Linked DNA regions of Pelodiscus sinensis. The protein of the gene in region 1 purifies or fractionates together with the protein of each later gene. This does not show direct contact. Links are inferred from orthologs where the notes say so. Each region holds a gene or a part of one and is shown in the gene's direction. Other genes may lie near its edges. The genes, in order: SRPK2, YTHDC1, PNN and ZNF638.

Evidence for each region.
Region 2: the proteins of SRPK2 (region 1) and YTHDC1 purify together in Homo sapiens (affinity purification with mass spectrometry; 4 studies listed by BioGRID and IntAct, with this or other methods). This does not show direct contact. The link is inferred for Pelodiscus sinensis from reciprocal best matches to the Homo sapiens genes SRPK2 and YTHDC1.
Region 3: the proteins of SRPK2 (region 1) and PNN purify together in Homo sapiens (affinity purification with mass spectrometry; 3 studies listed by BioGRID and IntAct, with this or other methods). This does not show direct contact. The link is inferred for Pelodiscus sinensis from reciprocal best matches to the Homo sapiens genes SRPK2 and PNN.
Region 4: the proteins of SRPK2 (region 1) and ZNF638 purify together in Homo sapiens (affinity purification with mass spectrometry; 3 studies listed by BioGRID and IntAct, with this or other methods). This does not show direct contact. The link is inferred for Pelodiscus sinensis from reciprocal best matches to the Homo sapiens genes SRPK2 and ZNF638.

Annotation. Positions count from the first base shown.
Region 1 is NC_134711.1:25,325,904-25,333,592, reverse strand, and holds the start of SRPK2 (SRSF protein kinase 2), read left to right. Parts: upstream 1-4,676; 5' UTR 4,677-4,864; coding exon 4,865-5,154; intron 5,155-7,689. UniProt on the Homo sapiens protein: Serine/arginine-rich protein-specific kinase which specifically phosphorylates its substrates at serine residues located in regions rich in arginine/serine dipeptides, known as RS domains and is involved in the phosphorylation of SR splicing factors and the regulation of splicing.
Region 2 is NC_134715.1:4,322,998-4,329,922, forward strand, and holds the start of YTHDC1 (YTH domain-containing protein 1), read left to right. Parts: upstream 1-3,924; 5' UTR 3,925-4,080; coding exon 4,081-4,108; intron 4,109-6,925. UniProt on the Homo sapiens protein: Regulator of alternative splicing that specifically recognizes and binds N6-methyladenosine (m6A)-containing RNAs.
Region 3 is NC_134714.1:45,293,198-45,300,901, reverse strand, and holds the start of PNN (pinin), read left to right. Parts: upstream 1-4,689; 5' UTR 4,690-4,852; coding exon 4,853-4,965; intron 4,966-5,719; coding exon 5,720-5,791; intron 5,792-6,141; coding exon 6,142-6,207; intron 6,208-7,704. Other genes in the region: TRAPPC6B (trafficking protein particle complex subunit 6B), read right to left, coding at 906-973, 1,454-1,549. UniProt on the Homo sapiens protein: Transcriptional activator binding to the E-box 1 core sequence of the E-cadherin promoter gene; the core-binding sequence is 5'CAGGTG-3'. Capable of reversing CTBP1-mediated transcription repression.
Region 4 is NC_134715.1:133,322,458-133,329,718, reverse strand, and holds the start of ZNF638 (zinc finger protein 638), read left to right. Parts: upstream 1-4,253; 5' UTR 4,254-4,603; intron 4,604-7,261.

The DNA of each region.
Region 1 (7,689 bases):
CAAGATAGAAGATTTGAGTTAGCTATCCCACTCTAAAGTAGTGCTGAAGAACAGGTACTGATCTTTACTTTGTAATATCTAGTAGTGTTTACCTTGATGTATCAAGTTTCTGGCTTGTTCTACATTAAAAAGTTAGGTTGACCCAGCTGTGTCATTCAAGAGTGTGAAAAATCCACAGCCCTGAGTGATGTAGTTAAGCTGACCTAACCCTCAGTGTAGATACAGTAGAATCTCAGAGCTACTATACCAGACTTACAAACTGACTGGTTAGCCAAACACCTAATTGGGAACCACAAGTACAGGTTGGATCTTCTTGGATGGGAACCCTAAGGACTTGACTGGTCCCGAACGAGGAAGTTTGCCAGACTAGGGGAGGTCAATGATTGCCCCCTTGCAACCTGCCTACCTGGCCCCTGACCCCGGCACAACTTCTAGTCCCACTGATACTGGCTCAGCAGGGCTCCCTGTCCCGGCAGGGCTCCTTGCCACCAGTCCCTCTGCTGCTGGGTTCTGGCTGGCCTCACAGCTGCCAGCTCCCTGCCACTGGCTTGGCAGGGCTCCTAACTACAGTAAACTTCCGATAATCCGGCACCTTTAGGACCTAGGGGGTGCCAGATTATCAGATATGCCGGACTATCAGAAGGGGGGGCTATGAGGGGTCTGGGGTGGGGTGGGCGGATGCTACCTCAGACCCCCTCATAGCCCTCCCTTCTGATAGTCCGGCTCTGCCCCAGGAGTCCCCGATTCAGCTGCTGCTGGTCAGTTTCAGCAGCGGCTGAATCTGGGGCGCCTGCAGCAGAGCAGCTGGGGTGCTGCTGGGTTGGTCAGGTAGCGCCGACCCTTGGCGCAGTGAGACCAACCCGTCAGCACCCCAGCTGCTCTTGGGGTCGCCTGGGGCAGAGCAGCTGTGGTGCTGACGGCTTGGTCCCGCAGCGCTGCTTCTCGGCGCTACTGGACCAACCCAGCAGCACCCCAGCTGCTCTGCCCCAGGTGTCCCCAAGTCAGCCGCTGCTGATACTGATCAGCGGCTGACTCCAGAAAGCCAGAGGCAGAGCTGCTCTGCCCCGGGCTTTCTGGAGTCAGCCCTGGTCAGTTTCAGCAGCGGCTGAATCAGGACGCCTGGGGCAGAGCAGCTGGAAGGCTGCTGGGTTGGTCCCACAGCACCGAGGAGCGGCGCTACTGGACCAACCCAGCAGCACCCCAGTTGCTCTGCCCCAGGTGTCCCCAAGTCAGCTGCTGCTGAAACTGACCAGCGGCTGATTCCAGTAAGCTGGGGCAGAGCAGCTCTGTCTCGGGCTTCCTGGAGTCAGCCGCTGGTCAATTTCAGCAGCGGCTGAATCCGGGACAGCTGGGGTGCTGCTGGGTTGGTCCCGCAGCCCCGAGGGGCAGCGCTACTGGACCTACCCGGCAGCACTCCAGCTGTTCTGTCCCCTGCTTCCCGGATTCAGTGCTGATCAGTTTTAGCACCGGCTGAATCGGGGAAGCTGGGGGCAGAGCAGCTCCAATGGTCCGGCTGCCCGGAGCACTTCCGGGTTCCTGATGGTGCCGGACCATCAGATGCCGGACCATTGGAGTTTTACTGTACTGGCCTCACTGCCACCAGCCCAGACCCCTCACTGCCACTGGCCCCTTGCCCCTGGACTCCCAGCTGCCAGGGCTCCCTGGTCCAGAAACATCCGTGGTCCTACCGGATCATGTATGATGATGCTGGACAGATTCCCGATTTGGAGAGGTTCAACATGTATGCAATTGGCAGCTGCAGTGATGACCCTCTGCCCACCCTCAAAAAGCAAATGCTGTATAGTACAGTACTGTGTTAAGCATAAACTACTAAAAAAAAGGGGGGAGGGAGTTAAAAAAATATTTGACAGGGAAAAAACTCTTTCTGTGCTCGATTTATTTAAACTACATTGTTCAAAAGCAGGATTTTTCTTCTGCATAGTAAAGTTTCAAAGTTGTATTGAGTCAATGTTCAGTGGTAAACTTTTGAAAGAACTACTATAATGTTTTGTTCAGAGTTACGAACATTTTAGAGTTACAAAAAACTTGCACTCCTGAGGTGTTTGTAATTCTGAGATTCTGTTATAGTGTTAGGTAGATGGAAGATTTTTTCCAGCCACCTAGCTATAGCCTTAGGAAGCCACCTTACACTGATGGGAGAACTCCTTTCTTTGGCATGAGTAATGTCTATACTGGAGTGCTACAGCGATGCAGCTGCAGCACATCAAATGTAGACAAGCCCAAAGTAAATTCCAGGTGGAGCGATTTTGATGGCTTTGACCAGCTACATCTAAGTATACTAGAATCGTATGTGTTGTCTCAGGTAGGTTATTCTGTGGCATGCAGGAGGAGCAGGGATGGGGCACTTTTGGAGGAGGGGGTGGAAAGTGTGTGGGAAGGAAACTGTGGATACTCACTGCCACCAGCCCAGAAAGGTTATTATTAAGCCAGAAAGAGGCTTATTAGGCCTCTGTGCATCAACACAGCTTAGACGAACACGATCTCTACTACTTGAGCTAAGAGTGATAGAAGTAGTCAGCTGTTGTCCTCCATGTGGAACAGCCACTAGAGGGGATTGAGAGACATTCTTTGCCAGTGGATTTTGCTTTTGTTTGATGATAGCAGAAGGATGTAGAGACATAGGACTTTTGGGTTCAATTCCAGGTTCTGTAGGGAATGGTAGTCTAATAGTACTAGATCCTTCTGCCCCTGCTTTCTACCTCCTTATCCTCAGGCTGACTTTGTCCCTCCTACCCCAGCTCCTGTCCCTGTCCCTATTGGCTCCTCTCCACCCTCTCACACCTTGTCTTCTGCCCTCCTCCATCTGTGCTTCTCTGTATCTCCTACACAGGTTCTAGTTTTTGTGCTTCTTTGGTCCTGTGTATTGCAGGTTCTGCTTTCCTTCCCGCTCTTTGCCCCCTTCACCCTGCTACTGCCCTTCATTACTTCTATCCAACTTTATGCCTCAGCTCTTCCCCTTCTTTTGCTGCATGTGACTGTTGCTCCTCCCAATTCTTCTCTCCCCTCTGTTGCCTGCAGCTCCTTCTCCTATGCTGCTTTCCACTTTGCATTTGCTCAGGTTGTTTCCTCCTTCTTACTGCCTGGAGACATCAGTGGTACATTGCGGGTGCATTTCATTTCTTATCATCTCTACCTTAGCAGCTGGGAAAGGTAATACAGGTCGGACCTCCCTGGTCTGTCACCCTCAGGACCTGCTCCCCTGTTGGCTGCCCCACTCCTGGGCTCCTGTCCTTGGGAATCCATGCCCTGCTGCTGGCTCCCTGAACACTGGTTATGCACGACTTCCTCCCCCTCCCACGCTGCCTGCCTGCTACCCCGGGGTCTGCCTGGCTTCTGATAGCTCTGCTGATGCGGGGTGTTCCCTGAGGTTTCCGGCTGGGGCCACCTGGTCACTGCTGGCCCTGCTTTTGGAGGCGGTTCCCCAGCCAGGCCACCCAGCTGCCCTGCCCCTCTGCTGCTGGGGATTCTGGCTACCTGCCTCCACCAGGTCCACTTCAGCCAGGCCCTGTTGGACCATGGATGTTGCCGGATCAAAGAATCCTGGAGTTGGGAGGTTCAACCTGTAGTTGGGAAAATTGTGCTCAATCCCTGAAACCCCACGATGAGTGTGCTCAATGTAGACATGGACTCTGGAAAATTTAGCTACCAAATTCTAATAGTTTTCTGTTGCGCATGTGTAAACTAAACCTTTTTGGAGGTTTATAAATTCGCCAAATTTGTGCAATTTGGGGAAAGTAAAATGACACGTCTCCATCAGCAGAGTGACTCCAACCCCCACCTTACTGCCTCTTACATTTCAAGACCTTGCTCCAAAAGCCTGGAAATGCTAGAGCTTCTCAATGAGATGGTTGTAAGATTTCTTTTTAACATGGGAAAAACATACTTTTCCTTAAAGTTAATGGCTGAACTTTTTTTCAGCTGAAAAATAAATGCAGCACCCTGAGGCATATCTCCGGAATGGGAAATTTGAGCCTGAATACTTAAAGTTTAGTAATGTTGTAAGCAATTGAAAATAGGGTCTTAGAATGGGAAGTGTCAGACAACATTAAATAGATTTAGTGCATCCAGCTCTGCTATAATATGATTTTAAAATTATAATCAGTCAACTTTATTATGTTAGTATCCTTTGGTTTTCATCTGAAACATTTAAGTAACAGAGCTTCTGGCTACATGATAATCTTAATTTATTTTTTAAAACCATCCATGTGTATTTGGTTTTGAGATCTCATGATATAGAAGTCGCAGTTGGTATGAGGCTATTTCTTTCTCTCCTCCCTTCTCCTCCTGTAACAGTAGTCTAGCAGTAAAATTGATCTGGCTCTCAATATTTCTGTTCTAGATGTCATTGTTAGGCCATTTCTCTTAGGACAAGTATTATGTATCAGCCCTGCTCTGTTAATGGGTTTTGCTGATCATTGGTTGTGAGCATTAGAAGGGGCAATTAAGGTATTAGGAATAAAAAATTGAAGGCAAATTTAAATGTTGGCATTCAAAGTATATTTGAAAGAGTACTGGTAATATCAGTTTAAGAAATTCAGACATTTGTATAGCCTGTCTGTGATTTCTGATCCATATACTAAAGTAGTGATTTAACACTTCATTCTTTGTGACAAAAATAATTCAAAGAGCCATATTTTTCAGGGCTTTTTAAAATGAAGGTTCTGAAGGGTAGTAAATACATTTAGGTAGCAAAGCTGCAAATAATTTACTCCCCAAACTATTTGTTTGATTTTTCTTAGAAGCTGGAATTTGTGCAGTGGTTTGTAAATTGTTATGATAAGAATCATCTAGTAAATATGTTAGCTCAACCTCAAAAGAGGAACCACCCCTCTGCTTAAAAGAAATGGTACTTCCTGCTTTCATAAACAGTCATGTGCATAGTTTAGCAAGGCCTGATGCCTCTGGAGCTTTTCCCTTTAGAGCACGGTTGAATCAGTCCTTACAGAAGTACTGTAATCTTGTGGCTTCATTCGGAACAAAAGGGATTAGGAAAAAAAATTATTTGATAATAAGACTTTGGAAAACAAGGGCAGGCAATCTTGGTTGTGAATATTTTTTGATTTTTCCAGAAATCAAGCAGAAGATTGAGCTGCTGATGTCAGTTAACTCTGAGAAGTCGTCCTCTTCAGAAAGGTACAGCTACATCTCTTGCTCGAAGAATTAATGGTGTGGCATTGTAAAGCAGCAGCATAGGGCATTTTTTCTTATCTGTTTGCTAATATTGTTGATGTATTGCATGCTGGTTATTGTAATGTATTGAATGACTCTGTTTTTGGCTAAGGTTTGTGTCTTTGCAAAGGGTTATTTATTTTTGTTTTTACTGAAGTCTAAACAGCAGCATGCAAATCGTAATACAGCAGACTACTGGTTTATGTATATTGTTGTTGCAGGCTGTGTTCTATTTTTTTGTTTTCACCCCAAAAGCATCTTGACTTCTAAATTCAGTTTCAAAAATTAGATTTTTTGTTTTGTATTAGAGGAAATAATTTTACTGTTACCAAGGTTGCTGTTAGATTTAGATTAGTAGAAAGTATCAGTGTGCTAAGCATTAAATATTCTGTTATGTTGAAAGGGAGTGTCCTTTCCAAATAGCTTAGGAATTGCAAACACACAAATTAGTCACATTCTGTAAAATAGATGTGATGCTTCTTCAAGTCTGTGCTAGGAAATAGAACAGTCACTGCATGCAGTAATAATGGTTCATGCCTGCAGGTAAGGACAAAATGACTCAGAAGTGTTTTTAGAACAATTATTTCATATGTCAATCAAATTATTATAAATAGTTGTTTGATTTTAAATAGATATTTTAAAACCTTATTTTTTATTTTTGACATTCAGATTTTTTATATGCAAATAGTTCTCTTAATGACTATTTCGGTGCTTTTAATAATCAAACCTGTTCACTTCTCTTTTTCTTGAGATTTTATTTTAATAGAAACTTGTGTTCAGAAAATTATTTAATCCGCGGACAACGCAAGATCAATTCAAATTAAAACATTATTTGAATTTAATCATTTAATGTGTGTAGCAGAACAGCTGAATATTATATACTTTGGAAATGAGTTACTAGAATTATAATTAGTAATATAATACACCTAAACAGGCCTTTTTTTAGCTGAAATGATATTACCTAAAATATAGATGAATGATGTTTGAACATAATAAAAATAATGGCAGTGCACTGGAAATTCAAGTTAAAAGAAGATAGGCTAAAATGAGAGAATGCTGTGAGGAGTGCATGGCTTTAAAAACAATACAAGCAGTTTAATTGGATTTATAAGTATAATGAGGGAAGACATGATTCTAAACCATGATATTGCTTTTCACTAGCTATAGCATGACAAAATATCAGAGCAATGAGAGAGATACAGAAAATGGTGGGGGGAGTGGGTTGTTAAGTCACCTTTCCAAAATGGAGAAATGTAAGAAAAGCTTTGGGTTGTTTTTGCACACATAAATTGAAAGTCATGAAAAAGGCTTAAGGATGTATAAGATGTTTTGTTTATCCATTCTCATGGATCTCAAAATTACATAGACTATAAATGTTAGGCCAAATAAATGGTGGTAATGATAGGAGAGAGGAGGATGATGGGGTGAAAGTAGTACAGGAAACAGGTGTTAACTGTGATTTTTTTTTTTAAGGCTTCTGTGAAGGGTACCCTGATGAAGTAGTGAATCCAGTTATATTTTAGCAGCTCAAATGCTATGGCAAAACTAGTGACTAATCGGAAGCTATTGTTGAACAAAATGTGATAAAATACAATACGATCTCTGGGAAGAAACAGTTGGCTAGTGGACATGGACCTGTCTTCCTAAAGTATTGCTATACATCATTAGAAAAGGAGGCAAGGATTTTAAAGATGCATTTTATGCTTACGAACCATTAACAATGCCCTTGATTAAAAAAATAAATTGCAAGTACATAGTCCATAAAGTTGCCTCATGGTTTTCAGTATTTTGAAGGGAAAAGGTAAATCTAAAAAGATCAAGAGATAAAAAACTGGATATTGTGTATGCACTATAAACTTTTTTACAATATTCATAGAGATTTTTGTGCATTGTGAGAATACTATTTTAGTGATTTGAGTTGCCATACATTAGTTACATAATTTATAGGGTCAGAAATCAGCAAATAAAGACTTTCACAAAGTCTGTCAGAGATGATTTTTCATTCTCTCTGTGAAATAACTACTTCTTTCCCTCAAATATAAAAATACATTCACTATATAGCAGGAAGCAATATTAAGTATCCTATTAACTTTCAGATCCTTCCATGACCTTCAAAAATTACAGTATTAAAAGCTGTTGGTGAAAGAAATCTGTATTGTCAAATAATGACATTAAACCATAAAAGAAATAGCATTCAAAGCGTACATGAAATTATCCTTAACTGTTGTGCACAGTCAGCATATATGGTATATAAAGAATGTTTATATCCAAACTTAATGTTTGGGCACACATTTATTCTTGCGTTGTGTTTTGTTTCCATTTTCATTTATGAATATGGGACTTCTCTGGTACTTTGAGTTCCCTGGTGGAAGATCTAAATTATAGTCTCTGATTTGGTCTCATGTTTTCCAGGCCAGGAGCAATAATAGAGGATGCTGGTCAGTTGTACCCTTAAGGGAAGAGAGGGAGAGAGGCTAGGATTTGTGTATTAACACAAAC
Region 2 (6,925 bases), on another chromosome or scaffold:
CCGAACAGGCAACTCGATGTCCAAAAATGTTGAGCTTAAGGCTGTTAAAATCCAGTTATCAGACTAATCATATAGTCGAAACAACTAATATCGACTAACTGATTAGTCAATAGGGGTTGTTCCAGGAGCCTACTTGAGCTGGGGCTGAGCAGTCCTGGCTCATGTTGGTTCTGGGAGCTACCCACACTGCCAGCCCCGGGTGCTGTGAACAGGGGCTTCTTGGTGGCAGCAGACCCTGTCTGTGGGGGGATAGACACAGCAGAGAGGAGCAGCCAGCACCCCAGAGATGGTGCTGTGGGGAACTGGCTCAGAGGCAGCAAGGGGAGGGCACCACAGAGAGCAGAGGGCCAGTGGGGACTCAAGCAGTTCCCGCTGGCTCCATGTTCCCATGAGGCTGCTTCAGCCTTTGAAATGTATATGAGTCCACTCTGCACCCCCACGCCCATAGGGCTCTTGTACATTTCAAAGGCTGAAGCAGCCACAGTGGGAACCAGCACAAGCGGACACCCTGCCTCCTCCCCACAGAGATGGCGCTGGGGACAGCCGGCTTTTAAGCCAGCTCCCCCCAGAACCACATACAGCTCCCCCAGCTTGCTGCCTCTCTCTAATATAGGCAACACGGGTGAAGCAACTAGTCAAATCACTACTCGACTATTCGATAAGCTTATGCTTATCAGATAGTCGACTAGTCACTTACATTCTTAGTTGAGCCCCCAGCATCTCCCAAAGAAGTAAACAGAGCTTAGGGAGCTGACAACTTTTAAAAGACAGGCTATTTACTGATGTGCTTAACAATGGAGTTAAGAGCCTAACTTTGGTCCCTGTTTGTTTGTTTGTTAATCTTATTAGATGTCATCTGTAAACATTGGTCTGGTTGGTCAAACACTGTCCTCTGCTTTTGTACCTGTGAATTGCAAGCATAAATAATTACAGGCACTGTTTGGATCTAAATGTATAAACATCTACACTCACAAATCAGGTTTCTATGTTCACAAGACCTACATTGCAGCAACAAATAACTTGCCACCACAAATTGTTGTGTCTGCAAATTCTGGGAACAAAAACAAAAGCCCAATCAATACTAGGCTGAAAATCTGGCTCATCTTATTAGGGACTATTCACATCCCCGCCCCTTGCGGCCTCTATATCAGAGCCAGCAAGATGCGGGAGGGGGAGAAACAGAAGCTGATGCTGGGCAGGGAAGGGAGAGGCACAGCAGCATTGCAGCTTTGCCTTTTAAATGCTACCCAGCTCATTTTAGTCAAAGCAGCCATCAGGGACCCGATTAACTGTGTACTCGATGCAAATTGTATTGAGTATCCAGTTAGTCATGTACTCGCACTTAGCATCCTCACATCTTATCTGTCGTGTAATAACCATTGGTCCACCTGTAAAACTGAACAGTGCTAAGAACGGGGGTCAGACGAAGATCAAGCTGACACGGTACTGGAGTGGGTATTCCAAAGTTTCACAGTCTGACAACTGTATAACAACATAGCAAAAGGCTCAAAAACTAGTAGCAAACATTTTTAAAGTGCATCAAAAGCAGAGCACCTGTCAAGCGATCAGTGGGGCCACTAGACGATCAAGGTGCTAAAGGAACATTCAAGGAAGACAAGGCCATAACGGAGAAGATAAATAAATTCCTTCCATCCACCTTCGCTGACGAGGATGAGAGGGGGATTCCCACACCTGAGCCAATCCTTTTATGATGACACATCTGAGGAACCATTCCAGCTTGAGGTATGTGTAGAAAAAGTTTTGGGAGAAACTGATATGTGAAACAGCAATACGAGTCAGCAGGACCAGATGCCATTTTGAAGGCAAAATACAAATACGAAATTGCAGAGCTCCTATCTGGGGTATGTAACTTTTCATTGAAATCAGTTTCTTTGACAGGTGACTGACGATAGCTACTGCCATGGTAATTTTAAAAAGGCTCCAAAAGCAATCCTGGCAATTACAGATTTGTAAGCTTAAATTCAGTACCAGGCTAATAGGGCTACAACTATAGTAAAAAACCGAATTATCATACACAGGCTGAAGCAGCCCCTGCCTGTGGTGCACCCAGGCCCCCGACAGAGGCTGCATTCTCTGGGCTAGAGTGCCCCGTCCATGGCAGGGTTGAAGCATCCCCCTGCCCTTGGTGGGTGAGGAGCTGCTCCAGTCTCCAGAGGTTAACCACAGGGGGTACCAGAGCAGTTAACCAATCCCCCCTCCCAGAGCCCGCACCCCACAACCCCCGCCCGAGCACGCACCCCACCCCTCCCAGAGCCCACACGCCACAGCCCCTTCCCCCGCACCCCACCCCCTCCCAGAGCCCACACGCCACAGCCCCCGCACGAGCCCGCACCCCACCCCCTCCCAGAGCCCACACGCCACAGCCCCCGCACGAGCCCGCACCCCACCCAGAGCCCACACCCCACAGCCCCTGCACCCCACCCCCTCCCAGAGCCCACACCCCACAGCCCCTGCCCCCGCACCCCACCCAGAGCCCACACCCCACAGCCCCTGCACCCCACCCCCTCCCAGAGCCCACACCCCACAGCCCCTTCCCCCGCACCCCACCCAGAGCCCACACCCCACAGCCCCTGCACCCCACCCCCTCCCAGAGCCCACACCCCACAGCCCCTTCCCCCGCACCCCACCCAGAGCCCACACCCCACAGCCCCTGCCCCCGCACCCCACCCAGAGCCCACACCCCACAGCCCCTGCCCCCGCACCCCACCCCTCCCAGAGCCCGCACCCCACAGCCCCTGCCCCCGCACCCCACCCCTCCCAGAGCCCGCACCCCACAGCCCCTGCCCCCGCACCCCACCCAGAGCCCGCACCCCACAGCCCCTGCCCCCGCACCCCACCCAGAGCCCGCACCCCACAGCCCCTGCCCCCGCACCCCACCCAGAGCCCGCACCCCACAGCCCCTGCCCCCGCACCCCACCCAGAGCCCACACCCCACAGCCCCTGCACCCCACCCCCTCCCAGAGCCCACACCCCACAGCCCCTGCACCCGCACCCCACCCAGAGCCCACACCCCACAGCCCCTGCCCCCGCACCCCACCCAGAGCCCACACCCCACAGCCCCTGCCCCCGCACCCCACCCAGAGCCCGCACCCCACAGCCCCTGCCCCCGCACCCCACCCAGAGCCCGCACCCCACAGCCCCTGCCCCCGCACCCCACCCAGAGCCCACACCCCACAGCCCCTGCCCCTGCACCCCACAGCCCCTGCCCCCGCACCCCTCCCAGAGCCCGCACCCCACAGCCCCTGCACCCCACCCCCTCCCAGAGCCCACACCCCACAGCCCCTGCCCCCGCACCCCACCCAGAGCCCGCACCCCACAGCCCCTGCACCCCACCCCCTCCCAGAGCCCGCACCCCACAGCCCCTGCCCCCGCACCCCACCCAGAGCCCGCACCCCACAGCCCCTGCACCCCACCCCCTCCCAGAGCCCGCACCCCACAGCCCCTGCCCCCGCACCCCACAGCCCCCGCACCCCACAGCCCCTGCCCCCGCACCCCACCCAGAGCCCGCACCCCACAGCCCCCGCACCCCACCCAGAGCCCGCACCCCACAGCCCCTGCCCCCGCACCCCACAGCCCCCGCACGAGCCCGCACCCCACCCCTCCCAGAGCCCCCCCCCCCCAGCTCAGTGACAGGGAACGGGGGGGCTGGGGCAGCGCTGGAAGCCGCGGAGCGGGCGGGAGCGGGGGCGTGGCCTCAGGAAAGGGGCGGGGCGTAGCGCTCAGCTCGAGCCGACGAGCCCAGCCAAGGCGCATAATGGCGGCGGCCAAGGGCGCCCTGCGCAGTCACGTGGCCAGGCCTTTCCCGCCCCCCCCCCCCCGCGATCCACCAGGAGCCCTTCCGGGCAGACGCTACGCGATGCGGTCACGCGCAGCCTGCATTGTGACGCCAGAAGCGTAAACAAAGCGGTGCCTTGTGGGAGGGGGATTGTCTCGCGCAGGAAGCAGCCTCCATCTTAGGGGCCGACGTGCCAGGCGTTCTGCAGCCGGCTCCGGCCCGCGAGCCCCCCCGCCCCGCCCCCGCCGCGAGCTCAGCGCCGGCCCGACACGGGAGGCGGCCGGATGGCGGCGGACAGCCGGGAGGAGAAAGGTAGCGGGGGGGGGACAGGCGGGGGGAGGGAAGAGCTGCGGGGGGGGGACAGGCGGGGGGAGGGAAGAGCTGCGGGGGGGGACAGGCGGGGGGAGGGAAGAGCTGCGGGGGGGGACAGGCGGGGGGGAGGGAAGAGCTGCGGGGGGGGACAGGCGGGGGGGAGGGAAGAGCTGCGGGGGGGGGACAGGCGGGGGGGAGGGAAGAGCTGCGGGGGGGGACAGGCGGGGGGGAGGGAAGAGCTGCGGGGGGGGGACAGGCGGGGGGGAGGGAAGAGCTGCGGGGGGGGGACAGGCGGGGGGGAGGGAAGAGCTGCGGGGGGGGACAGGCGGGGGGGAGGGAAGAGCTGCGGGGGGGGGACAGGCGGGGGGGAGGGAAGAGCTGCGGGGGGGGGACAGGCGGGGGGGAGGGAAGAGCTGCGGGGGGGGACAGGCGGGGGGGAGGGAAGAGCTGCGGGGGGGGGACAGGCGGGGGGGAGGGAAGAGCTGCGGGGGGGGGACAGGCGGGGGGGAGGGAAGAGCTGCGGGGGGGGGACAGGCGGGGGGAGGGAAGAGCTGCGGGGGGGGGACAGGCGGGGGGAGGGAAGAGCTGCGGGGGGGGACAGGCGGGGGGGAGGGAAGAGCTGCGGGGGGGGACAGGCGGGGGGGAGGGAAGAGCTGCGGGGGGGGGACAGGCGGGGGGGAGGGAAGAGCTGCGGGGGGGGGGACAGGCGGGGGGGAGGGAAGAGCTGCGGGGGGGGGACAGGCGGGGGGAGGGAAGAGCTGCGGGGGGGGACAGGCGGGGGGGGAGGGAAGAGCTGCGGGGGGGGACAGGCGGGGGGAGGGAAGAGCTGCGGGGGGGGGACAGGCGGGGGGGAGGGAAGAGCTGCGGGGGGGGGACAGGCGGGGGGGAGGGAAGAGCTGCGGGGGGGGACAGGCGGGGGGAGGGAAGAGCTGCGGGGGGGGGACAGGCGGGGGGAGGGAAGAGCTGCGGGGGGGCAGGCGGGGGGGGAGGGAAGAGCTGCGGGGGGGCAGGCGGGGGGGGAGGGAAGAGCTGCGGGGGGGGACAGGCGGGGGGGAGGGAAGAGCTGCGGGGGGGGACAGGCGGGGGGGAGGGAAGAGCTGCGGGGGGGGACAGGCGGGGGGGACGGGAGGGAAGAGCTGCGGGGGGGGGACAGGCGGGGGGAGGGAAGAGCTGCGGGGGGGGGACAGGCGGGGGGAGGGAAGAGCTGCGGGGGGGGGACAGGCGGGGGGGAGGGAAGAGCTGCGGGGGGGGACAGGCGGGGGGGAGGGAAGAGCTGCGGGGGGGGACAGGCGGGGGGGAGGGAAGAGCTGCGGGGGGGGGACAGGCGGGGGGGAGGGAAGAGCTGCGGGGGGGGACAGGCGGGGGGGACGGGAGGGAAGAGCTGCGGGGGGGAAGAGTGAGGGGGTAGGCCGGGGGGGACAGGCGGTGGGGGGGGTCGGCCCGGGGGGAAGAGCTGCAGGGGGGAAGAGTGGGGGGGTAGGTCGGGAGGGAGATCTGGGGGGGGGGTAGGCCGGGGGCGGGACAGGTGTTGGGGGGTAGGCTGGGGGGGCGGAAGCTGTGGCTGGGGGGGCCAATGAGGGGCGTTACGATTGGGGGTAATTCTTATTTCGGTTTTACCAGTATAAGTGAAATTGATTATAAAAATTTTCTGTGATTTTTTTTTTTTTTTAAAGTGTCAGCTATATTCTAGGGAAGAATGCTGTGGGTGTAGATCCATCTGTGAAACCCTGTGGTCGGCTGTATAAATAATTGTCTCTGTTAGACACATGTAATATGTTACTGCCCCTGAGGTGGGAATAGCCACCACTTTAAGCTTTGTACCACTTCTTTGGCTTGTATATACTTTGGATTGTGCCATCACACTAAGGCTTTGGAGGTGTGGGGAGCCCTCTTCTAGGGCTCCTGTTGATGCTTTTGGGGACATTTCAGTGCTTTATGGGGACAACAGGACAGAGTATTTAAAATCCGGACTGTCCTGGAAACCTCTGGGGCATATGGTTGGCATAGCCATACATGCTGTGAGGCTCTTCCTTGTAACTGCTTAAAGGTGACTTTTTTATGTTTTTAGATTTTGTAGCTCTTAAGGTGGTGTTCAGCACCATCAAGTTAAACTGGAATTACTGAAAGGGAAGGGAATGGATTAAATAACAAGGAAATGATGGAAGCCTCAGACACACTCACCCAGGAACCTACCCCTGCGATAAAACCTGGTGCCAACTCCAACTACACGTGTATATAAGTGATACCACCACGGGATCTAACCACATCAGAAGCTCATACAACTGCACTTCCTGATATATGCCATCAAGTGCCAGAAATGCCTCCCTGCCATATATATTGGCTAAACTGGACAGTCTCTGACACAGGATACATGGACACAAGTTAGATATCCAAAATAGTAACACACACAAACCTGTAGGGGAATATTTTAATCCACCTGGGCACTCAATCTTAGATTTAAAAGTAGCCATTCTTAGTTAGTTAGTTAGTTGACCTTCATATGCAATTTTGACACTGTTTCCCTGGGCGTGAACAAAGACATTAAATGGATGGCCCATTATAAAATCAGCCTTCTATATATCTAACACCTCATTTACATCAAAAGCAAGTATGGGACACTTCCAGCCCACTCAATTAGCCTCATTAGTTCATAACTCTGAGATAGTCATAACTGAACAAAACATTCTGGCCGCTTCTTTCAAAAGTTTACAGCTGAACATTAACTTAATACAGCTTTGAAACATCACTGTGTAGAAGAAAAATGCTGCTTTGAACCATCGTAATTTAAATGAAACAAGTAGAGATATAGCTTCCTTG
Region 3 (7,704 bases), on another chromosome or scaffold:
GGGGGCTGCTCCAGCCAGGCTGGAGTAGCCCTCACTTGTGGTGGGCCCTCCCAGGGCTGTTAACCATTAATATCCCTACCAGGACTATATATTAAAATGATTGTCTGAAAACATGTTGCTCACATGTGGCACACTATTGGATGCTATTTTGAAAACAAAACACCTATCAAATATGGCAAAAGAACTTTTCCCTAGATACAAATACATATGTTTTCATTTGCCACACCTTTCTAAAAAGAGTGAGCTAGAGGTGATTTATTATTACTTTTAATAAATGTTTTTCCATCTCTATGTAGTTTACATCCAACTACCCTCTCACTGGCATTATTCATTCATACAGATACATATAGACACACACTATATCTATCTATAGACACATACACACATTTAGACACTTGCATCCACAAAACTCTATAGTGTAGACAAGGCCTAAATGGACCAAATCATGAGGACAAGGACATTAGAAGAACTATGTAATATCTTTACCACAGAAGATGCAGGGGAGATAGCTATCTTTAAGTAATAAATACAAACCATAAGAGAATGGAGGTGTCAGAAGAGAAGCTGCTAGATTCAGAACAAATGACAATTAAAGAACTATAAATCACATGTACAAGGTTGCATTCATCCAAGAATTATGGGTGATTTTAAGATGAAATGATTAGATTGCTAACAAAAGTATTCAATAACCCATTAAAGTCAGCTTCTCTACCAAAGATCTGAAGCAGATATTGTCTCTTAAAAAAGCATTAGATTTGTAAACCTTATTTCAATTCAAAACATTTATGGAAGGCTCCAGTTTACATGGTATATTATTTTAGGGGAAAAGAGTTTGAGGGAGGAGAAAGCAAAGTGAGATGCAGGGGTTATAAGGTATCACTTTTTTAAAATCACACCATTCTTACCTTTCTATTAATCCTTGTCCTACTCTAAACCCCATATTTTCCAATTTAGTGATGCATCGTCCATTTTCCTAGAAGATACAAAAGGTTTTTTTTACATATTTTGTTAACCTCAGACTTACGGTAAAGGCGTACAAGGAAAATAAGAGTTCATTCATTCCTTATGGCCTCTAGCTATAGACTATGCTATTTCAGTTGTGGCTCCTCCCTTTGCAAACACAGGTTACTAGAGCCGTCCAGCCGGCTCTCCTGAAAGAATTTACAGAAAAAGCAAGTATTTTGAGTTCAGAAAATAAACCTGTTCATGTCTTTCTTTCTCTAGCTTCGGCCAGGACAGCGCCAGGCTGGGCTGTGTCCCACGGTGCTCCTGGCATAGAGGCCCTGGCGGGAGAGGTCTACTCCGAGCACAGGCATCGTGCCAAACAGGAGCGTAGGGACCAGCTGGATTAAGGAACCCCCGGCAGATCGCTCCCAGGTCAATGTGTGCGAGTGCCCGGGAGGGTGAACCCCGCCGCTCGTCGGTATCCCTCCCCCGGCAGTTTCCACCTCACCCCCTCGCCTTGCTCCGCGGCCCGGTACAGCCCAGACACCATCTCATTATGCAGCAGCAGGAACAGCGCTTCGTCCGCCATCTCCGGCCTGGCCATGCCGGCGGCTGGAGGGCCTCGCGCTGCCGCCCTTCTCCCCGGCTCCCTCCTTCCCAGACCGGGCCCCGGCCGCTCCGGGAAGCAGCGCGGCCTCACTACCAAGGCAACGGGCGGCTTCCGGGCAGGGGCGGGGCTCCGGCTGTCAGGCTCCTAAGGCTCCGCCCGCCGGGAAAAAAGGATACGGGGTGGGGGCTGCGCGCTACGCCTTGCGATGCGGGGGGCGGCGCAGAGCAAAGGAGCGGTAGGTGCCAAGTTAGGGTGAGGGGCTGCCGTAGTCCCAGGTAGAGGGAAAGGATGGTGGGTGTGAAACTTGCCAACCATGTTAGTAGCAGCTATTTTAAAATACTCTGAGATCTGCCTGAAATACAGTAAAATCCCTTTTCTCCACAGAGCCTAGATATATCGTTGCCCTATACGCCCACGCCCAGCCACTGGTCTCATTCATCTATTTTAAACTTGCACAGCCAGTAGCATTACTGGCTCTGGAAGCTGTTATAATCATTCTACCAATACTGTTTGGTCAATGGTATTTTGCCTGTTTTTAAACTAGTGCCAGAGTGCACTTTGTGGCTCACAATTATTATAAAGGAGACAAACTGCAGTTTACAGGAGAAAGTCTTGGCAGTTCTAGGGTATGTAGGGTAGGGAGGCAGATGTGAGTTTATAACTGGCATGCTCTAGGGTTGCCAGATGGTCTCCCAAAAAAATACCACCCACACCACACATACATCCTGTGTGGCTACTACCAATAGCCACCAAGCTGGGAACAAAGGGGGAGGCAGCACAGCCTGCTCTGCAAAGAAGCCGCCTGCTACCCAAAGCAGAGAGAGGCAGACCCTGGGGCAACACAGTGGGAGGAGGGCAAACATGGGTAGGAAGGTGACTCCTCCATAGCCAAGTCTTTGGATGTCCCAGTGGGAAGAAGCAGAAATTCCACCCCAATCAGTTTGGCTGAGAGCCCATGGAAGGCACCTAAAGGCAACTACAAAGCACCTGCAGGATTCTTTCCTGGACTACAGCACCACAACGCGCTTCAACAGCGCTCAAGAGCAGGGACTGGGCTTCTCCTCCTCCCAGCACCAATCACAGCCCTGCCTCCCAGCCTGGGACTCCCTCTGGGGCTACATCTACACTGGCGTGATCTTGCGCAAAAACTCTTTAGCGCAAGAGTTCTTCTGCAAAAACTCTTCCAGAAGAGAGCATCTACACTGGCATGTGCTTTTGCGCAAGAGCATCCATGCCAGTGTAGACGCTCTCTTGCGCAAGAAAGCTCTGATGGCCATTTTAACCATAGGGCTTTCTTGCACAAGAAATTCATGTTGCCTGTCTACACTGGCCTCTTGCACAAGAACAGTTGCACAAAAGGGCTTATTCGTGAGCAGGAGCATCAGAGTTATGGCACAAGAAGCCCTGATTTCATACATTACGACGTCAGTTTACTTGCATAAGAACACACGGCCAGTGTAGACAGGCCACTTTTACACAAGATCGCACCAGTATAGACACAGCCTGGTTGTGTGTGCAGAAGCCTGGCAGGGGGAGTGGTTGGGACCCACAGCCCTCCCCCCCTCCCACCTGGCTTCTGCACACACCCACAGGCTCCAAGCTGGGAGGCAGGCAATGGGAGCCTGTGGTTGCATGCAGCCACTCCCCCCCATCCCTGCCAAGCTTTTGCATGGTACCACAGGCTCCCAGCACCGATTGCGGTCCCACCTCCCTGTTACTTCCCCCACCCCAACCAGGCTTCCGTCCGGCACCCAGCCAGGAAAACAGAAACTAACAGCTATTGCACGTCTGATATTTTCTGAATTTTTTTTACTGGACAGCGGGCACAAAAACCAGACTGGTAGAATACCAGACACCTGGCAACCCTAGTAGCTCTATCTCTGTAGAGAAAACTGAATAAACTAAGGAAAAGTAAAGCAACAATGTTAGAGATCAAAGTTTCTACTGCCTTTCTTCACATTTATCTTGTGTCCTCTTCACTCTATTTTAGAGTCACAGACTTTAGTCAGGCCATCAATATCCCCCAGCACCAGGATAATGAACCCCTTTCATTCATGTCTCCCTGCTTCTTGACTTTAGCTGGGTAATTAGCTTATTTCGTTTACCTAAACTAAACCAAAATAATATTGAGTCACTACTGAGCAACGAGACATGTATTTTTTTACTTCATGCCAACTCTGTGAGCTGCTCATCATGACCCAATGCTGGATGTAGTAAAATAGAGCGAAATTAGCGAATACGAGGAACAGTCACCTCCATTCCATAGGAATTTTAAAGCCAGAACAGAGAGACTTGGCTACTCGGCTCATTGCGAGCGATAAAAACCTGGGCAGCGAGCTGGACTTCAGCTTGGAGCTCTCCGCACGATCGGCAGAACTAGAAGAGACACAGAATTGCCCCGAGGACCTGGCCCTACAATCATGCGGAGGACGAAGGGTCGCGGCAGCGCGGGCGCACCCCGGAGCGGGGCAGGCTGCGGGCGGCAGGGCACTAAGCTCGGTTCTTTCCCACTGCAGCGAAGGGGAATGCGCAGCAGGGGAGACACCGCGCTGCAATGGGAAAGGCAGAATAACAGCGCCAAGCAGGCAGCTCATCTTGCCCCGCAAAACGAGCAGCCAGGGCGGCTTCCCCTCAGGAGAGGCGATCCCGGGCCGGCTACATGAGTAGAAGGGGGAAAAAAAGAAGACACCAGCACGTGAGCTGATTGGCTAAACGCCAGGCCTTGCGCGGAATCGCTCTTTTCTTGTTCCCAAACAACATGCTTTTGCATTGGTTGAGTTGTAAGAAAGTAAGAGCTGATTGGCTACTCCCCGCTTCTGTTAGTTATGCCTCATGGCCTCTGAAGGGCCTCGGCGTGGGGTGGGGCGGGAAAGTTGAGAGAGTTCGGAGTGGGTGGAGATGGACAGTATTACTCTGCTTCTGATTGGTTGATAGGAAGAAAGGAAACGGTGCTGGTTGGCTGGGATCTATGTCATTTTGTTTGTCCCTTCGGTGATTCGCAGATATGGCAAGCAGGGAAGACTGGTGATGGGGCTGGCGATTTGTCACTCCGACATGGGCTCTCTAATTGGCAGATGCGTCGCACGCGGCTAGGCTGTAGGCGTCGTCGCTTCTGGTCGAGACATGGTGATTGGCGCACCTGGACGGTCGGCGATTTCCTATTGGTGTCACTCTGGTTCCGAGCATTGTGACTGGCGGGTTGTAGGGCGGATCGAGTAGTTTGTGGGCGGGGCATCTCGCTCCGTTACCCAGCGGTGCTTTGCGCTAGGCCCTTGGCTAGGCCGCGCTGCTGGCGGGATGGCGGTGGCTGTGCGCGCGCTGCAGGAGCAGCTGGAAAAGGCCAAGGAGAGCCTCAAGCACGTGGATGAGAATATCCGCAAGCTCACGGGCCGGGACCCCAACGATGTGAGGTGAGGCGAGGCGAGGCCGGGGCTGGGGCTGGGCGCGCGCCCTGCGGACGAGGGCGGGCCGGACCGGACGAGCCTTGCGGGTTCCTTTTCTCTCGGAGCGGAGGAGCAGCGCGTCACTGACTCTGGAAGCAAACGTGCTTCTGAGGGTCCGAGTCCTGTCGACTGGGTGCGGCCTGCGGGGTTTGGGGCGCCGCGGCCCGGCGCTCCTTCTTTTCTGCTCGGGCCCCTAGTTCCGGCGGAGGAGCGCGGGAGACTTCTTTTGCCCGCCCCGCGGCCGGCTGCTCGCCACCGCTTTCCGTGCTGTTCCACTGAGGTTGCTGGGCTGGGCGCTGATCGGAGGCAGCCGCCGCGGCGTGGTTTGCCCGCACAGTCAGTTGGTAACGTGTCTGAGAGGGACACACAGAGTCTCCCTTCTGTTGCCTGTCAGGCGTGATCCAGCCGGGAGGGAGGGGGAACTGAGTTGGGGAGGTCATTGGGTTGCCAACAGTCCCTTATTTTTCTCATCTGCGTACACCAAGATTGGGAATTTAAATATAGTGCTAGAAAACATATCTAGCAATCCCTTCTCTGTGCACTTGCCAAGGGTATGTGCTGCTTTTCCCCAGCAAGGTTTTTACAAGCAAAGTTTATTCTCTTGACATGTGAGGTTTTCCCTCTGTTAGTCAATGTCTGGTATGTGAGACCATGCAGGTCTCCAGAGAGAGCATATTTGCTTACTCTGCCCGCATTCTAACACTTAGTACATTTCTTCCAGGCCCGCTCAAGGTAGATTATTGACCATCACAGGCCCTGGTGGAGGTAGAGGGCGTGGTAGCATATTGCTGAGGTAAGAAACTGTTTATTTTGTGGTTCTCAGCCATCGCCAAATTATTAAATGTTACTTTTCCATCAGGTTTTGTAGGGTCAGTATTACAGGGTTATTGTGTACTTCATGCCACTAATATAGGCAATGGAGAATGCTATATAACTTGACTGTTACTAAAATATAATTATTATGATGATTGTTTTCAGTGAGGTAGGGAAGCATTACCCACATAGACAGGAAGTTTAACTTACCCAGGATCACATTTGAGTCAACGGCAGACCAGCATTGGAAACTCTGCAGTTCCAGTGTCCAGGTCTCTCTGACAGCTACTTATTTGTTTTACTTCATGTATTAAGTCTTCTGTTTTTTAGGCGTGGATTCTCGGATAGCGGAGGACCCCCAGCCAAACAGAGGGATCTTGAAGGGGCAACCAGTAGGTAAGTATAAAGGTGAACAAAAACTTTACTCGAGTGAAAGGTCATCATGTTTTAACACATTTAAATTGTCAGAACTGGTAACTGTTAGTCTGGTGGCTTTATAACTACTTTCTTAAAGATTACTAATTCCAAAGCTAAAGCTTTTGTCACTGTTTTTGGATGATCCCTCCTGCATCAGTAAGGATATAGCTCCCTATCCATGTTTTAACATGTTCATATCAGTTCTGATAAAATCTTGTCTCTGTCTCCTCCTCGCTATAAAATGTAATAATTCTGAAGAAATGCAATCAGATGTAGAATTTGAGTGGTAACTTACCGTTCAATAGTTCTGAAGTAATATCTGAGTATAAATCATTCCCTTCGCTCAATGAGGAGTTGATGCCGAAATCTAAAACACCTGATTGTTAATATCAACTGCTGATTATTGGGGGGTGTCAATGGATAGCTGGATTGCCTATAGTTTAAATGGCTATTAGGAATGTCAATGTGTAGATGACTACACGATTAACCAATAAGCCTGCACACATTGTCCCCCCTTGCTGCCTCTGTATCAGAGGCAGTGGGCTGGGGAACGGGAACCAATGACCTGCACTTCTGTGCTGTTGCCTCTGATAGAGAGCCAACGGTGTGGAGGGGTTGGGGTCAGGCAGGAGTCAATATGGGTGAGGAGTCAGCTCTGTGGACCCGTCTGCTTATCTTTCCTGATGCATCTTACAGAGCCAGTGAGTGGAGGCAGAGGCAGGAGCTAGTCTTCAAAAGCCAGCTCCCCCTGAGCACTGGCTCTGTGGACCCTCCTGGCTGCCCCGCTTGCTGCCTCTGTCAGAGGCAGAGCAGCAGGAGAACCTGCTGCTGCTGCAGCAGCAGCCACCCCTTTCTGCAGTGAGCCCAGGCTCCTTGTGCACAGGGTTCCCCTTGCAGACTAGCTCTTACCTGCCACCCCATGCTGTTACCTCTGATAGGGGCTGGTACAGCCAGGTAGGTAGCCCAGCTCAGTCCTGGCTCACCTGTGTCTACGATACCCACTGTAGCTCTTCAGTTTAAATGTAGTAGGGGCTGGACTACCTGCATGCCCAGCTCCTACGAAATTTAACTGCAGAGCCACAGCGGGAGTAGCTCCTGGACCCGACATGAGCTGGGACTCAGCACCTTCCCTTATCAACTAATCATGAAGTCGATAAAAATTGTCTACTACACGATTAGCCAATTACTTGCCTCTTAACAGCCTTCCAGTGAACCATTTGGCCACTGGAACTACACCAGTAGTGCAGCTCAAAAGTGTGAATGTGTAGAGTACATATCTAAACTCCAGTTGCATGGGAGCATTCTCTATTTTTTTTCTTTGTAGATCACCTTTAATAACATAAAGAGTGCCGCTATGATTTTATTTATCTCAGTTCAGTAGACTTTCTTGTGCCAAAATTGTGTTACTGTCAAATTCACCATGAGTGAGTAATGAGAAGCTTACTGCTGAGTTCATGGTTCTCAGTAGGGACTTTC
Region 4 (7,261 bases), on another chromosome or scaffold:
GAGTGGTGTACCTGCCCAAGGTTTGTGGAAGGCTGGAGAGGGATGGCACGAGACAAATGGCTTGGTCACTGTCTTCGGTCCATTCCCTCCAGGGTCCCTAGGGTTGGCCGCTGTCGGCAGACAGGCTACTGGGCTAGATGGACCTTTGGTCTGACCCAGGACGGCCATTGTAAGCTCAGGGCTCAGGGTCGGGGGCCTCAGTGGACCCCCTTGATTTTCATGCACACCTGCTCCTGGGTGGCCAGGCTGGCAGCTCTCCTGCCCTAGCTGGCCACTTTCCAGTGCCTAGTGCGGAGATCGTGGACGAGGTCCTGTGGAATAAGAGATTCCTACTTCAAAGTAGGAATAAGAGATCCTCCGGAATAGGGCTTTATTCTGGAGGATCGGGCCAGTCTAGACGCTTTTTTCCGGCTTTTCCCCAAGCCGGAAAAAAGCGGCGGACATGTTTATTTAAATCCCGCGGGGGATATTTAAATCCCCCGCGGATTTCCCTATTCTGAAGTTGAAAATTAGCATGCCCCTTTCGGAAAAGGGGCCAGTGTAGACGTAGCCACAAGGTGAGTGAGGTCATCTCTTAATATTAGACCAACTTCTGCTGGTGAGAGTGACTAGCTTTCATAAGCACAAAAGTTCGCGTCTCCCACCAGCAAAAGGTGCTCCAATAAAAGATGTTACCTCATCCACCTTGTATCCTGGGACCAACATGGCATAGAGCTTAGCTAATGTCAGGGGGCGGGGGCACTGCTGGCCGGGACACTCCTGTTGGCATGCAGCTTGCCTACCCGAGGGGCCGCGGCTGCTATATACACCACCATAGCAGCAAAGCCTCTGTAGCGTCGACTAGCCACAAACGAAGGGTACCCAGTGGAAAAATGTTCTCTGTCACAAGAAAACGTCCACACGGCCTCTCCCAGGCTGTATTTCTTCTTCCGATTGTATGAAACATACAGGCTACGTCTACACTGGCATGATTTTCTGGAAATGCTTTTAACGGAAAAGTTTTCTGTTAAAAGCATTTTCGGAAAAGAGCATCTAGATTGGCAGGACGCTTTTCCGCAAAAGCACTTTTTGTGGAAAAGTGTCCGTGGCCAATCTAGACGCGCTTTTGCACAAAAAAGCTCCGATCGCCATTTTCGCGATCGGGGATTTTTTGCACAAAACAAATATCTGCTGTCTACATTGGCCCTTTTGCACAAAAGTTTTTCGGAAAAAGACTTTTGCCCGAACGGGAGCAGCATAGTATTTCCGCAAAAGCACTGACAATCGTACATGAGATCGTCAGTGCTTTTGCGGAAATTCAAGCGGCCAATGTAGACAGCTGGCAAGTTTTTCTGCAAAAGCAGATGACTTTGCCGAAAAACTTGCCAGTCTAGACACAGCCACATAGGCTACGTCTACACTGGCATGATTTTCCGAAAATGCTTTTAACGGAAAACTTTTCCGTTAAAAGCATTTTCGGAAAAGCACGTCTAGATTGGCAGGATGCTTTTCCGCAAAAGCACTTTTTGCGGAAAAGCATCTGTGGCCAATCTAGACGCGGTTTTCTGCAAAAAAAGCCCCGATTGCCATTTTCGCGATCGGGGCTTTTTTGCGGAAAACACTACCGTGCTGTTTACACTGGCCCTTTTGCGCAAAAGTCTTTTGGAAAAAGACTTTTGCCCGAACGGGAGCAGCATAGTATTTCCGGAAAAGCACTAACGATCTTACATGAGATCGTCCGTGCTTTTCCGGAAATTCAAGCGGCCAGTGTAGACAGCTGGCAAGTTTTTCTGCAAAAGCAGATGATTTTGCGGAAAAACTTGCCAGTCTAGACACAGCCATAGTGTTCTGCATTGCAAAGGCCCTGGTTGCATGTTAGCTTTCAAACAGGGCTGCAGTGTTGACAATCCATACAGCTTTACACGGTCTAGGATGGGGTGATCTGAAAATCTGCCCTCTTTTCATTATTTGTTAAGCTCCAGCAATATCCCAATGTCCAGTTGGCTTTGTTGTTTTAATTCCAGAGGCCAACTGCTCTGGGACAAGGGGTAGGACCTCTTCAGCTGAAATGCCCTGTCCTTGGAAACCTGCTGCTTTCTACCAGGGCCTGAGTTTGAGTCTGAGAGAACACTATAGAATTGATCTGTCTGGTTGTGCTTTGATTAACTCTCGGAGCTGGTTTTGCTGGTTTTCTGAACTGCATATAGAATTTTATTGTAAGATCCTATTTTGTATTTGTTTTGAAACAATGTAGCATGTCCAGGCTCAGCAGTCATGGGAACAGATTTGGAAACCTCAAGTGATGCATTAAAAAAGGATTCAGACGCTCCATTAGAAGCACACATTAAGGAGCTGGGATTCAGTGTTAGACACAGTCATTTATTATTTAAACATACACTGTTACCATAGTTGACATTGGTGTTTATTAAACTGAGACTATGTTTAGGTTAGTTACCGCTTGCAAATGTACAACATAAAAAGCCATTTAAAGGCAGCATCCTTTTGTCGTTTTAAACTCAAATGTTGAAACCCTGTCTGTGCCTCTTTGCTCTTCCAATGCATACTCCCCATACCTAGATATTTTCCATTATTGGCCTGTTTTTTAGGCACCTCTCACTATGCTGTGAATATAGGCACAGCCTAATCGGCGCATCTTCTTACCTTGTTTCCCAGTACAAATTAGGGATGTTAGATAGCAAGTGATTGAATAGTCATGTAACTGCACAGAATATTATTGGTTACATGACTATTCGATAGACCCCAGGGGCAGGGCCAGCAGACAGTACATGCTCTCAGCCCCACTCCCAGGGAGCCCACTGCTACCCCGTGCCTCTGTATTAAAAACTGGCTCCCCGTGCAGACTGGCTCCTGCCTGCCACCCTGCGCTGCTGTCTCTGAGAAAGAGGCAGCAGCCTCTGTCCACAGGGTACCTGAGCTCCCCATGGGCAGGGGCTGCTCTGGCATCCCGCAGATCCCCGATAGAGAGGCAGCAGCCCACGGGGTGGCAGAGATGAAGCAGCTCATGTGATCCAATACGCACGGGGAGCTGGCTTCAAAGCCAGCTTCCTGCAAGTATCAGCTTCTGCCTGCCCCCCTCTCTGGTACAGAGGCAGTAAGGGTGTGTGCGCATGTAGTCTAAATGATTAACCCATAAGCCCAGGCTTATTGCTTAATTGTGTACTCAACTACATGTTGACATCCCTAGTACCAATGGAACCCAGTCCTCCTCGGTCTGTGAACATTTCCACTGACTTCAGGGGAAGTATTCACATTAATCCATTAAGCAGGATTTGACCTAAATGTTTTTGTACCTAACCCTGCTCTCCACCTCTCCTTCTCACAAAGGTGTTTTGATTGCAGCTATCATTACAATAGTAGGGCATTGTCAAGGGGAGCCAGAAACATTCCCAGGTACAAGATAGGAATGTAAAATCCCATTTAATCAGTTAACTGGTTAAACGTTCTGGCTATGTCTACACTGGCGGGTCCTTGCGCAAGAATGGCAGTTCTTCCACAGAGCGTCCACACTGCCCGCCCACTCTTGCACAAGATTTACAGTGCAGCATGGGAAGAGAGGGCTTCTTACGCAGGAGCTACGCTCTTTTCAAACAAGTATACGCCCTCTTGCACAAGAGGGCAGTGTAGACACGTGGCAAGGGTTTCTTGTGCATGAAAGCCCTATGGCTAAAATGGCCATCAGAGATTTCTTGTGCAAGAGAGCACCCACACTGCCATGGATGCTCTTGTGCAAAAGCACATGGCCATGTGGACGTGTTCTTGCACAAGAACCCTTGCACGAGATCCCGCCACTGTAGACATAGCCTATGCTTCACCAGGGGCGGATGAGCGAAGCTGCTCTGGGAAGGATAGCGCACCCCTGCCTCTGGTGCACAAGCTGGGCCCCCAAGCCAGGAGGAAGGCCAGGCTCTCACCTGACAGGGGGCGGCTGGAGGAAGGAGCAAGCAGCTGGGCTAGGTGGACAGGCACAGAGCAAGGAAGGGCCTGTCCCAGGAGAGGCAGCACAAGGCAGAGTACACCAGGGAGCCTCTGGGTGGGACCACAGGGATAAGGGGCCGGACCAGGCAGCTAACCCTGAGCAGGAACCCCACCCTAAGCCACCTGCGTGCCACCTGCCAACTCCTTATATAAGGGGCAGGTCCTCCCAGCATGCCCTGGGGCGCGCCTGCGCAGTAAGCGTCACGGTTGGCGCCCGGACCCCCGCTCTTAGCGCGCACGCGCGGGCAGAGGGCGGTGAGCGTGCCCCAGCGCCCCACCCGTTGTTGTTATTCAGAGGGGGCGCTCTTGGGAAGCTGCTGCGCCTGCGCTAGTCTTCGTTCCACGCCCAGGACAGGCTTCGGGTCAACTCGACGCGCAAGCGCATTTGGTAGCCCAGAGCGCAGACGGTCAGCGGATCTGTTCTGCGGCTGCGTGGCGATCACCCCCTGGCGGGCCGCCGGGGAGTTACTCCCGCCGCGTCCCTCGGGTCGGCCCGTTGAGCGCATGCGCGGCGCCATTGCCTGCCCGACTGAGGCGCCAGAGCGGGGCTGCGCTGATCCAAGCGGGCGGCCGAGCGCCACAGCGTCGCGGAGGCGGGAGCGGCCCGGCTCCGCCGCTTCCCCGGCAGGTAAGGCGCCCGCCCGGGGCGGGGGCTGCCCGGCGTCGGCGGGGCCCGCCGAGCTGCTCTGTGGCGCAGAAGGCGCCGCGGCTGCCGAGCCCAAAATGGCGGCGCGGGGCGATGGGGGAAGGGGCGGGGCCGGGGGCGGGGCCTGCGCGCCCGTCTCGCGGCCGGGCGAGCTCGGGGGGGGGGGGCTGACGGCTCCACCCCCTTGTTGCTGAGGCGGGCGCGCGCGGGGCAGGCCGGGAGCGCGCTCCTGCTGCGGCGGCGGTGACCGCCGGCCTCTCCCACGTGCGCGCGCTTCGCCTCCCGCTCGGGCCCTGCTGGGAAACAGCGACACACGCAGCCCCGCCCCTCGCCCGCGCGCCGGGCCGGGGAGGAGAGAGGCCCCGCCCACCTCCCCGAGCGCGTGCGGTGCCAGGCCTGAGGTTTCCCACCCTTAGACTAGCGCTGCAAAATCCCGGTTGTGAGTCTGCTGGGGGCGGGGGCGGGGGGGGGGAAGGGACGTACCAAAAAAAATCAAGTCAGAAATGTTTAACGTGCGCGTATTTAAAGCCAGCTTTGGCATGGATAAGCCGTGTTCCATCTTCAATTGCTGTGAACTCACTGCACTGATTTAAACACAGGAAAAGAGTAGGGAAGAGCAGGGCTCGGCTGCTCAGGTTGTTGGTGACCTAAACCAGTGTTAGCAACATTGGTCTCTTCTGTAGACACACAGGGATATTTTCTTCTTTCCAGTTAATTCAATCTGTTGGGTGACTAAGTCAGTGAAAGTTAAGTACAGGTTGGATCTCCCTGGTCCAGCACCCTCCCCTGCTGGCTGCCCTGCTCTCAGGCTCCTCTCCCTGGTGCTCCCTGCCCTTCTCCACTGCTGGTCCCTCCCCACCTTGCTGCCTGCCCACTGCCCCAGGGTCTTCTGGGATTCCCGGCAGGGACTACTTTGCTGCTGCTGGTCCCATTGCAGCAGAGTGTTCTCCAGGGTTCCTGTCTGGAGTCACCCCGTGCTGCCACTCTGCTGCTTCTGGGGGTTCCCCAACCTGGGGCTGCCCGGCCACCCTGCTTGCTGCTAGGGCTGACCCCGCTGCTGCTAGGGATTCCAGCTGCCTGCCTCTATCAGCCTTGCTGTCACTGTGGGTTTCTTGGGGTTCCTGGCTGCAGGCAGCCCAGTTAGAGTTCCTGGGCTGCTGCCTGGTCCCGCTAATGCTGGGGTTTCCCTGGCCAGGGCTGGGACTCCCCAGATGCTGGCTGACCCAGCTGGGACTCCCCAGCCCCTATGTTGCTCCAGGACTTTTTGGTCCAGTAACATCCCTGACGGACCACTTATGTTGCTGGACCAGAGAGTCCCACATTTTCCTCTTCCAATCTAAGAACAAAAAATGAGAGAAGCACTTGTTCTATATATCTTAAGGGACATGGTGATCATAAATAAGCAATCCGTTCAGCACACTAACAATTAATTTGGATAATGAACCCATCTTGAATGCAAAAATGTTTTAATCAATTTGTTTTGTACCCTGCACATAGATACTCAATGGCTATGTCCAGGGCTTGACAAATCCCGGCGAGAGCTACTCGCCAGCCCTGCACCGCGCATGCGCCAAACTGGCACTGCGCATGCGCGAAGTGCCGGTGAATGGGGCGCACGGAGCGACCGGCTGAAATCTACTCGCCGTGGGCAAGTAGATTCAGTGGTTTGTCGAGCCCTGGCTATGTCTACACTGGTGGGTTATTGCAAAAGAACTGCCGTTCTTCTGCAGAGCACCCACACTGCCCACCCGCTCTTGCGTAAGAAGATTTACAGTAAAGCGTGGTAGGACAGGGCTTCTTGCACAAGAGCTATGCTCTTTTCTAACAGGTGGAAGCTCTCTTGCGCAAGTGGGCAGTGTGGATGCGCGGCAGGGTTTTCTTGCTCAAGAGAGCATCTGCACTGCCATGGATGCTCTTGCGCAAAAGCACCTCTCACTGGGGGGTGGTCTTTTAGATGTGGGCGGGCTAATGCCCGCCCACCTCCTGGATGCCAAATAGAAAAGCACCTCTCACACATGGCAGTGTGGACGTGTTCTTGCACAAGAACCTTTGCACAAGACGTTCTTGCGCAAGAAGCTGCCAGTGTAGACATAGCCAATCTGTTTATTCATATTTCCTTATTTAAAAAATGTGTCTGCGAGAGCTAACTAGGAACAGTCTTGTATTGGTTGAAGGGTTGGAGGCAGAATTTGTTTCCTTGGCATTGGTTTTCAGATGATGAGAGGTGCGGAGGAATGATCGGGGAGCGCATGACAGGGCCTAGGCCAACCTCACTGGGGGCAGGGAGAGAGCGCCACCCGGCCCTCTCCTCTGCTCCTGGCCTTAGCTCCTAGCCCTCTCTGCTATTCCTGGCTCCCAAGGTGGTGCAGGAAGATTCCATCATTGAGGAGGGAAAGGGTGCATCAGAAAAAGTTTATGGACTACTGTTTTAGGGGGATAGTGAATGGATAAAACACTGCTGGCTTCCTCTTTTTCCTGTTAGTTTCCATCTTGATGGCAGCCTACAGTCACTTAACTTAGTTTTGTGTTCAGTATTTCTTTCAAAGGGCTGTCATCTCTTAAAAGACTGTGAAGTTCAGAGCTCTTGTGCAAATGAAAAGGTCAAGATTACTGAAGTTTTTGTGGCCATCTCAGGTTTAT